Ovis aries: one gene and its partner. The protein of the gene in region 2 binds, or shares a complex with, the protein of the main gene of each other region. Links are inferred from orthologs where the notes say so. Each region holds a gene or a part of one and is shown on either strand. Other genes may lie near its edges.

The links. The genes of interacting proteins can lie anywhere in the genome.
Region 1: the proteins of GABBR2 (region 2) and KCTD16 are in contact, whole or in part, in a crystal structure (PDB 6M8R), measured with the Homo sapiens proteins. The link is inferred for Ovis aries from reciprocal best matches to the Homo sapiens genes GABBR2 and KCTD16. Residues at the interface, in NP_005449.5 of Homo sapiens: Ile882, Asn883, Ile888, Gln889, Arg891, Leu892, Ser893, Leu894, Gln895, Leu896, Pro897, Ile898, Leu899; in NP_001357415.1 of Homo sapiens: Asn30, Gly32, Gly33, Gln34, Val35, Tyr36, Asp64, Leu65, Ala66, Lys67, Asp68, Ser69, Arg72, Phe74, Gly79, Phe80, Arg83.

Annotation. Positions count from the first base shown.
Region 1 is NC_056058.1:52,974,040-52,978,157, reverse strand, and holds the start of KCTD16 (BTB/POZ domain-containing protein KCTD16), read right to left. Parts: upstream 2,809-4,118; 5' UTR 2,056-2,808; intron 1,692-2,055; 5' UTR 1,369-1,691; coding exon 537-1,368; intron 1-536. UniProt on the Homo sapiens protein: Auxiliary subunit of GABA-B receptors that determine the pharmacology and kinetics of the receptor response. Increases agonist potency and markedly alter the G-protein signaling of the receptors by accelerating onset and promoting desensitization.
Region 2 is NC_056055.1:49,126,080-49,130,211, forward strand, and holds the start of GABBR2 (gamma-aminobutyric acid type B receptor subunit 2), read left to right. Parts: upstream 1-1,332; 5' UTR 1,333-1,379; coding exon 1,380-1,700; intron 1,701-4,132. UniProt on the Homo sapiens protein: Component of a heterodimeric G-protein coupled receptor for GABA, formed by GABBR1 and GABBR2. Within the heterodimeric GABA receptor, only GABBR1 seems to bind agonists, while GABBR2 mediates coupling to G proteins.

The DNA of each region.
Region 1 (4,118 bases), on a different chromosome or scaffold from region 2:
GGGGTCTTTCATCAGTCTGTACTGCCATCTAGCCAAGATCACGTCATTCAGTGCAACATCCATTTTGCTTTCAACGTCCCTGATGAAAGCCAGTCTTCAGAAACCAGCTTAATAGACTCCAAAGTTCAGATAAGACAACAGTCAGCAGCACTTCAGCCACTCTGAGCCTACCGAACTCCCATGACCCAACAGCCAAGTTCTCATCATTGCCTTATCTTCACAGTTCAATATCTGACAGACACACATATCTATTTTCATTTCACATATTATCTATACCAATATCATTTGTATACTGTCATTTTGAGGCCTTTAAATAGCCTGTGAGTTGATTGGGAAAACAAAAGTTACCTTAGGTAAAACATGAAAGCTGATTATAACCTCTAATCTTCTAGCTATACCTCAAGAGTTAAAAAAATAAAATAAAAATCCCAAACAGCATTCCTTAGACATAGACTGAACACGCAGACCATATATACATATATATCTATTAAACAAATCCATACACATGGAAAACAACAAGAACACTCTGTACTTACGGTAGAAGACGTACTCGGTGTAACTTGACCAGATCTTGTCATCTGTATATTGGTTGACGAAAGATGCTGTCACTGAGGAGTTACAGGCCACCATGTGGAATCCACATTCTGACAACATATCAAAAGCCCTTTCCAGATGCCTGAATTTGAGATAAAATCTGGATGTGTATCTTTCTGGGGCTCGGTCAGGGTCTCTGCTCTCATTCAAAGTTTCTCCAAAGACCTCCTTCGCCAAGGAAATCCTTCCACAAACCAAAATCCGGGGAACTCTCCTAAACTTGGCATCCGCCTGCCCCTCTCTGCCCATGGTGCAGGACCCCCTGTAACCCACAGTAATAAAACCCCACTTGCGGTCAGCAGGGAGCAACGAGGAAGGGGGGCAGATTCTCGTGTCACTTCCTTGGGAGGCATCTTCAAAGTCACTGTGGCAGAATTCATCTGGGCTTTGCTTGATTTCATCGGGGGTCAGGAGTTTGACCAAGTCTGGGAGCTGGAAGTACTCAGCTTCTCTTTTCAGTCTTCCCCTTTCTGGAAAGTGATCAGGCAGGACCACCTGCCTGTCCCTGAGATAGTCCAGAATATAACGGAACAAGAATCCATCTCTGTCAATGAAAAACCTTCCCTTGGAGTCCTTGGCTAGGTCGTTAGCTGTGTCTCTCTTTGGGGAAAACATTTTCCACAGGAGGGAATGAGGGATGCTTATTAATGTGGAATGGCGAGTGAAATAAACTTGACCCCCAACATTCAGCTCCACGACCTCAGGGAAGGAGTTGGGAACTGCAGCCCCTTGTTCTCGAGCATAATAACGACTACAGTTGCCACTCAGAGCCATGGTCCCTTTCTTCTTTCTCTTCTCCTATTTTGATGTGAAGGAGCGATCCAATGGAGTCACAGCCTGATCCTTTGCAGCAACTTATAAGGGAGGGAGAGGATGTTAACTTGTTAAAAACAACCTCCTCTTACCCCAGTTTTTTTTTCCCCCAACAAAGCAAAATTTCAAAGAGTCCACAGGTGAAGTGATGCTACAGAAGTAGTTTAAACCCTGGCAGGTGGTGAGCTATGACTTCATGGAATATAATCAACTCATCTGCATCCAGTTTTCCCCCAAGCTCAGTAGGCAAGGCCGGTCAGGTCCTCAGTTACTGAGAGGTCTGTCTGCAGGAAAAGAGAGAAAATTATTTCCTCAAACACAGCATGAGTCAGAAAAAAAGAGACTGCTGGAGAGAGGAGAGGGAGGTAGAAGGAGGGAGGGAAACTGAAAGGGAGGGAGGGAGAGATTATTTTACATAAGCAGCCCTGGAATTACTGATTTCAGCCATTCTTCAACTAAATCATAGCTTCTTTCAAGGTATTTCGTGTCTACATATTTATCTATATCCCTCTGTCTCCAGCATTTAGTATTAAAAACATTTCTATTTGATTTCTGCATTAAAAATGAATATGCAATTTTCAACTTCTAAAAGGAGATTTATTTTCTTTCCTCAGCTGGAGAGGAAAAGCAATAAGCCCTGGAACTTACCTCAGTGAGTGCTGGAAACAGTTCTTGTGAAGAAATACCCATTTGCAAAGCTGTCCAAATCCCCAGCCACACACAGAGTCTGGAGCTTGTCAAAATCCCAAACAGGTAAAATACAGAGGTATCAATGAAAAGTGCCAGAGAGATGTGCTCTTAGAAAATAATAATTATATATATAAATATTTATATAAATGTATATTTGCGTATATGTATGTATATATTCACTTCCAATCTCAAGTTAAAACAAGTCACAAAAAAGTTAAACCGTGACTAGAGGTGGTTGGATTGAAGAAGCAAAGCAGAGAAAAATATTCAAAGCTTCTCCAGGAAGGAAAAAAAAAAAAAAAATCAAACCTTTGGAAAGAATCCTTAAAACAAAAGAGAGTTGCAAGAGGTACCGGGACTTGGAAGCTTTTCAGAAAGCCCAGAAGCAAGACAGATGCTCCCTGCTGGGGTCCCAGGTAGCCACCCCACCTGCCGGCAAGGGCAAGCGGGCTCCCATGTTCCCAGCCAGGTGGGAGCGGGCGGCCGCCGCGGCGTAGAGATGCCGGCGCGGGGCTCGGGCTCGGGCTTCTCCGGCGGAGGAGCTGGGTGGTTCCACAGTTCCCAGTGCAGTTCGGATGCTGTTGTTTCAGCAGTGCAGGCAAGAAACCATCCAGGGAAATGACTATTACATCATCTTAAAGGAATATGGCTTGGAGAGAGCGGAGGCAGCTCCGAGTCACGTCCGCCTCGGTGGCAGGTCGCCGGGACGGCACGGGGACGCCGCGCTCCGGCCGTGGGCACGCGAGTCCCCCGGGCGCTCCGGGCTCGGGGCGGGGACGGAGCGCGACGCAGTCGCTTCCCTCCTGGTCCTGTCCCGGAGTCTGGAGTTTCCAAGGGCCTTTGCTTTGCCCTTTCGTGCTGTCTCTAGACCTCCACAGCCACCACCATGCCCCAGAAACAACCCCTCAACCCAGATGAACACGGCGGTTTTTCATTTTTAAAAAACCAACAAACAATTCTTTTGAGTGTGCACTAAATTTCTGCTGAAGGGCAAATTACCCCTCTAAAGCTTGTTTAAAAGGAAAAAAAAAAGCGTACCCAGTGACCCCAATGTTCAAGCTACAAAGTGGTTTTTTTCCCCCCAAGAGAACTAAGCCATATTCTCTCAGATGCCCTCTCCTGTTTTTGTTTTTTTTGTTTCTTTCTCTCCATTCCTCTGCCACCCTCACCCCAGCAAATAAATAAATGATGAATATATACATCCATACCTTCAGTCTCTCTGGAATTACTGATGCTCCTTCTCAAGACTATAGGAAGAACTGGTACCCTCAGGAAAAAACAAGGTTTCTATCAGTAAGTCATTATCTTGGCTTCCATGTAAGACATCGTTACCTGCAACTTTTTTCTGGGTCTGTTTCCTTACGAAGCTTCCCTCTGGATGTGCCCCCGCCCCCTCCCATCTTATCCCAAGAGGACTCTAGTGGAAGACACGCCTGCAAAGAGACATTTTACTCCTGTCCCAGAGGGTTCCCTTAAGTGCATCATTAGAGTTTCAGGAAGGCATTTCCAGGGCAACCTAATCCACTAACAAAGTGCTTCCAGTTGATCCTGCCAGTCAATAATGGCCCAGGCAACAGCTTACAGTAAGTCAGCCATTTCCCCTTTCAAACACCAATGTCTTAGGACTCACATTCCTAATGAGAATGTAGTACTTCATCCATGAATAATATATGCGGGGCACACTCCATTCCAAACAACTGCTATTTTTAAAAGATTAAAACCAAAACTGGAGAGAAATGTGTGAATTAGATACATTTTATGGGATACATGGGTTTATTGCCAGCTCTTGCCCCAAGAATTAGCATGAAGATAGACTCAGCAGTAGCATAAAATAATTTCTGATCTAACACTCTTTTCTTTCAATAAGAATCAGGTTACTGAACACATTCAGAGTATTAGCTAACACTCCAATATCTGATTATATTTAACTTTGTTTCTTTAACTAATGTATTAACCTACTCTGGCCTCAATCATTGGGATTTTAATGCTGGACCAATCAAGGATGCGCTTGTTATTTGATG
Region 2 (4,132 bases):
TGAAGGTTAAGTTCTCAACCTTGTTTCAAGGTCGTCGGTATTGCCCACAAATGGTTGGTTCAAGGTTTTCTGAAATGATGTTGCCCCCCTTATTGATCACCTCTTGGGATTTTATATTTTAATGACCATGATTCCTATTGTTCAAGCTTGGAGAGGTACAAGGACCCGAGGCTCTAGGTCAGATTACAGGACTGCTAATTAAGGTTAGCCATTGCAGCTGGCGCGATCTGTCAGACAGAGGGCCAGGTCAAGGGGAGCTTGGATCCACTGTGGCCTGAGGATAGTACTCCGACCTGGACAGGCAAGGGTGGGAGAATTCCAGGGCGGAGCCCCCTTTGGGAATGGGGACATGGGGGAGGTCAAACGCCTGGAGGGGGCGATCGCACACGCAAGGCGAAGACTCCAGGCTCCTGAGGTTGGCAAAGGAAAGCTCAGACTAGACGGAAGAAGGGGGCTTTCAGCCACACCTTAAAGGCCAGAAACCTCAGCACCAAAGGGCATTCAACCGCCGGCGGTATTTTTGGCCGCTGCTTCGGGCTCAGTCATGGCCCCCCAGACACCAGCGTAGAGCAGGGGAGTGTAGGCTGCAGGTGCCTCTAGGACGCCTCTGTGGCGCGCTCGCAGACCAGACCTTCCCAGCCAGACCTCCGAGAGGCAGTCCCAAATCATCGTGCAGGTGCTACAGGAAGCGCTCGGCGAAGCGACCGTGGCCACTGCGTGTGCCAGCACGCCTTGCTCGTTCCTTCAGCCGCTGTCCCCCAGAGCTCAGGTCCAGGCGGTCGCGGGGCAGCCAGCGCGGCGGAGGGCCGGGGGCGCGGGTGTGCGTGTGCTGGGAAGGCGGCCTTCCCCGCGGCCGCCGCAGCGCCAGCGCCTCCCCTCCCCCGGTGCGCACGGCTCGTCCGGGTCCCCGGAGGCGGCCCGAGCCGCCGCGGAGCAGCCTCGCCTTCGCCTCCCGCGTTTCCTGCAGCTCGCCCTCCCCCGGCCGGGCTCCAGGGGCTGCTGCCGAACGGCTCGCGGCGGGAGAGCAGCTCAGAGCGCGCACGGGGGCGGGCGGAGGCGGCCTGGTTCGGGGCGGCCGCGCCGGAGAGAGGCGCGCGCGGAGACGCCGGCCCCCCTCTTCGCGTTTGCTCGCTTGCTCCCCGCCTCCCGCACTCTGCTCGCTCCCACCCCTTCCCGGCGTGATTGATCCGTCACGGGCGCCGCCGCTGCCGCTGTCGCTGCCGCCGCGGCCGTTCTGTGCCTAGCCGGAGCCTGAGCCCGAGCCGGAGCGGGGATCGGCGCCATTGCGCGGGCGCCGCGGGGAGATCTTGGCGCGGGGCGGCGGGCCGGGCCAGGCCATGCGGGCCGAGTGAGCCGGCGCCCGCAGCCCGCGGCGCGGCATGGCTTCCCCGCCTAGCTCCGGGCAGCCCGGGCCGCCGCCGCCGCCGCCACCGCCGCCCGCGCGCCTGCTGCTGCTCCTGCTGCTGCCGCTGCTGCTGCCGCTCGCGCCCGGGGCCTGGGGCTGGGCGCGGGGTGCCCCCCGGCCGCCGCCCAGCAGCCCGCCGCTCTCCATCATGGGCCTCATGCCGCTCACCAAGGAGGTGGCCAAGGGCAGTATCGGGCGCGGCGTGCTCCCCGCGGTGGAACTGGCCATCGAGCAGATCCGCAACGAGTCGCTCCTGCGCCCCTACTTCCTCGACCTGCGACTCTACGACACCGAGGTGAGTGTCCGGCTGCCCGCGCCGTCGGGGCTGTGGGGGGAATGGGGCAGGACGTGTTGGACAGAAGCAAGCTTCGGCCCTTGGGCAGAGCCTTCATTGAGGCTGCCGAGGGCACCTCAGGCTGGGGCTCAGTGCTTACCCTCTGGGTCCCGCCGGGCTTGGCTCGCACAGCTGGTGCCAAGATTTGCTGAGCATCTTTCCCCTCTGGGATTGTGTCTGTGTGTATGCTTGTGGGATGTGGGATAGAAAACTAGGGTCTCCTTTGCCCAGAGAAAGAGGTGGTAACTGAACCTGCCGAAAGGCCTGCAGTGGTCACCCCTGCCCAAGTCCCGCTGGTGGGGCTGTGGAGTGCTAGGTGGGAAGAACAGGCGCAATGACCATAAACTGGGCCATCAAGGGCTGGAGAGGCCACGGGCCTGCTCGCGGGCCTCAGAAAAGCCGAGCTGAGCTTTTGAGGTCCAGAGGGCTCGGGGACCCAGGGGCTGGAGCGCGCATCAGGGCTGGGCGCCTGGTGCGCGCCAGCAGCTTGGAACCCGCACCGGTCCGGCCGGTGTGGGGCCGCCGGCTCTGCAGCGCTGCTTGCTGCCTGCAGGTGCCTGGCCCTGCCTGTGGCCCTAGCGGTTTCCTGAGGAGACCCCTTCCGGTTAGTTGCTCAGAGTGTCCCGAGCAGGTCTCGCCCCGGACGCGCGAGTGTGCGGCCGCGCCGCTGCTGGTGGCCGGGCGGCTGCCGGCGCAGTTTCCCGGGGCGCAGACTTGAAGCAGGACTTGGAGCGCAAGTCGGCTTGCCTTCCCGGCCTCTTTCTCTGAGGGGAGCAGAAGAGCCGAGAGATTTCCGTCCTAAGCCCCCTCCTTACACCCTCAGCTTGCATTCCAGCTGTAGCAACAGCGCACATCTCCGCCGGCCCGAGAACTAGGGTGCGCCGAGGGGGCTCAGAGGAGCAATCGCTGGCCGCTTGAGGTCGGGTTTGCGAGTTTTTCCAGACTGAGCGAGCTCCTACGCTCCGGCCACAGCGGCTGAGACGCGGCCTGAAGGGGGCAGTGATTTCCTGTGCAGAACGCTCGGTTGGCGCCTCTTCCACCGCGCCAAGCCGGGCCAAGGCAATGGGCTTAATTGACCCGGCTTCCTGGGGTCCCTGGACACTTCTGCTCGAGTCCTGGTGTAGAAGGGGAGGGGAGGGTCGTCGTGCCACGCTGATGGGGCACCCTAGGCTCCACTTCCTTCTCTGTGTGACCCCCGCCCCCCGCCGCTTTTGGGTCCCCGGAAAAAGCAGGAATCTGGATTGCATCTTATTTCCCGCCTCCCCCCTTCACGGATGAACCAGTCTGCTCTGCGATGTAAATAAAAGGTGAAGGAACGGGTGGCAGTTGGTGGCGGTGCCCGGAGGTTGCTGCAAGCGGAGAGGCTTCCTTTGCCCTGGGAGGATGTAAGCTGGGAACTGTGCAGAGCCAGCCCCTGTGGAATCATCTCTGAATGACATTCCTGTCTTCTCCAGAACATTTCAAGTTCTCTGGGGGTACTTGTCCGACACACATAAACAGAGAGGGCAATGCAATTATACCGAGCCATGTCTTCTGGGTACTGTTTCTCTGTTGCTCAATCTTTTTTTTTTTTCTTTGAAAAGGACACAGGAGAGCGGGTTCTTTGGAGACAAAACCATTTATGGACAGGGCAGCCCTGTTTGCATCATCACCAAATATTGTCAGCTGCATCATGTTTTCACCAATTTATTCCATTCAGAAAGCTTCCCTGAAAGAGACGTCATATTAACTTGTTAGTGGCAGCAAAGGGAAGGGTGCTCAATTTCAGGACGTGGGTTGATGCTTTTATATTGTATTTTCAAGTGTGTCTTGATGACTTTCTGAGTGAGAGGGGGCCTAAAGTCAAGAGGATGAGACAGTCAGAAGGCACTTGAGCTCGAGGGAAGGAGGGCAGAGGGTAATCTCAGCCTCATGCGAGCAGAGGCATTTCTAGCCATTTGAAGGGGCACAGGGCATGGGCTTTGGGATGGCTCTGACCTGAGTCTGGTCAGAAACCTAGCATCTTCCCCGTGGGTGACCTTGAGCAAGGGATTTAATCTCTGTAAGCCTAGATTTCCACTTCTGAAAACCTGGGACTGTTATACGTACTCCGTTGGATGGTATTGTGACGCTTAAGGGAGATAACTGGCCGGAATGGAAAATGCCTTGAGCTGGCAGCACAGCGGCCAGTCCTCTGGCATGCTGTAAGCGCTCAATAAATGTTTCCTGCCTTCCTTTCCTTTCTTGCTTTCCCTTTCCTCTGTCCTAGATTCACAAGTAAGACACTGCAACTTTAGATTTGGTAAAATGGTCACCACTAAAATGTTAAGTTTGCTTATTTGTTTTTCCTCATCTCATGAAGAGTCAGTGAAGTTATCACCAGAAAAAAAGAATCTTGGCTTAGAATCAGATAA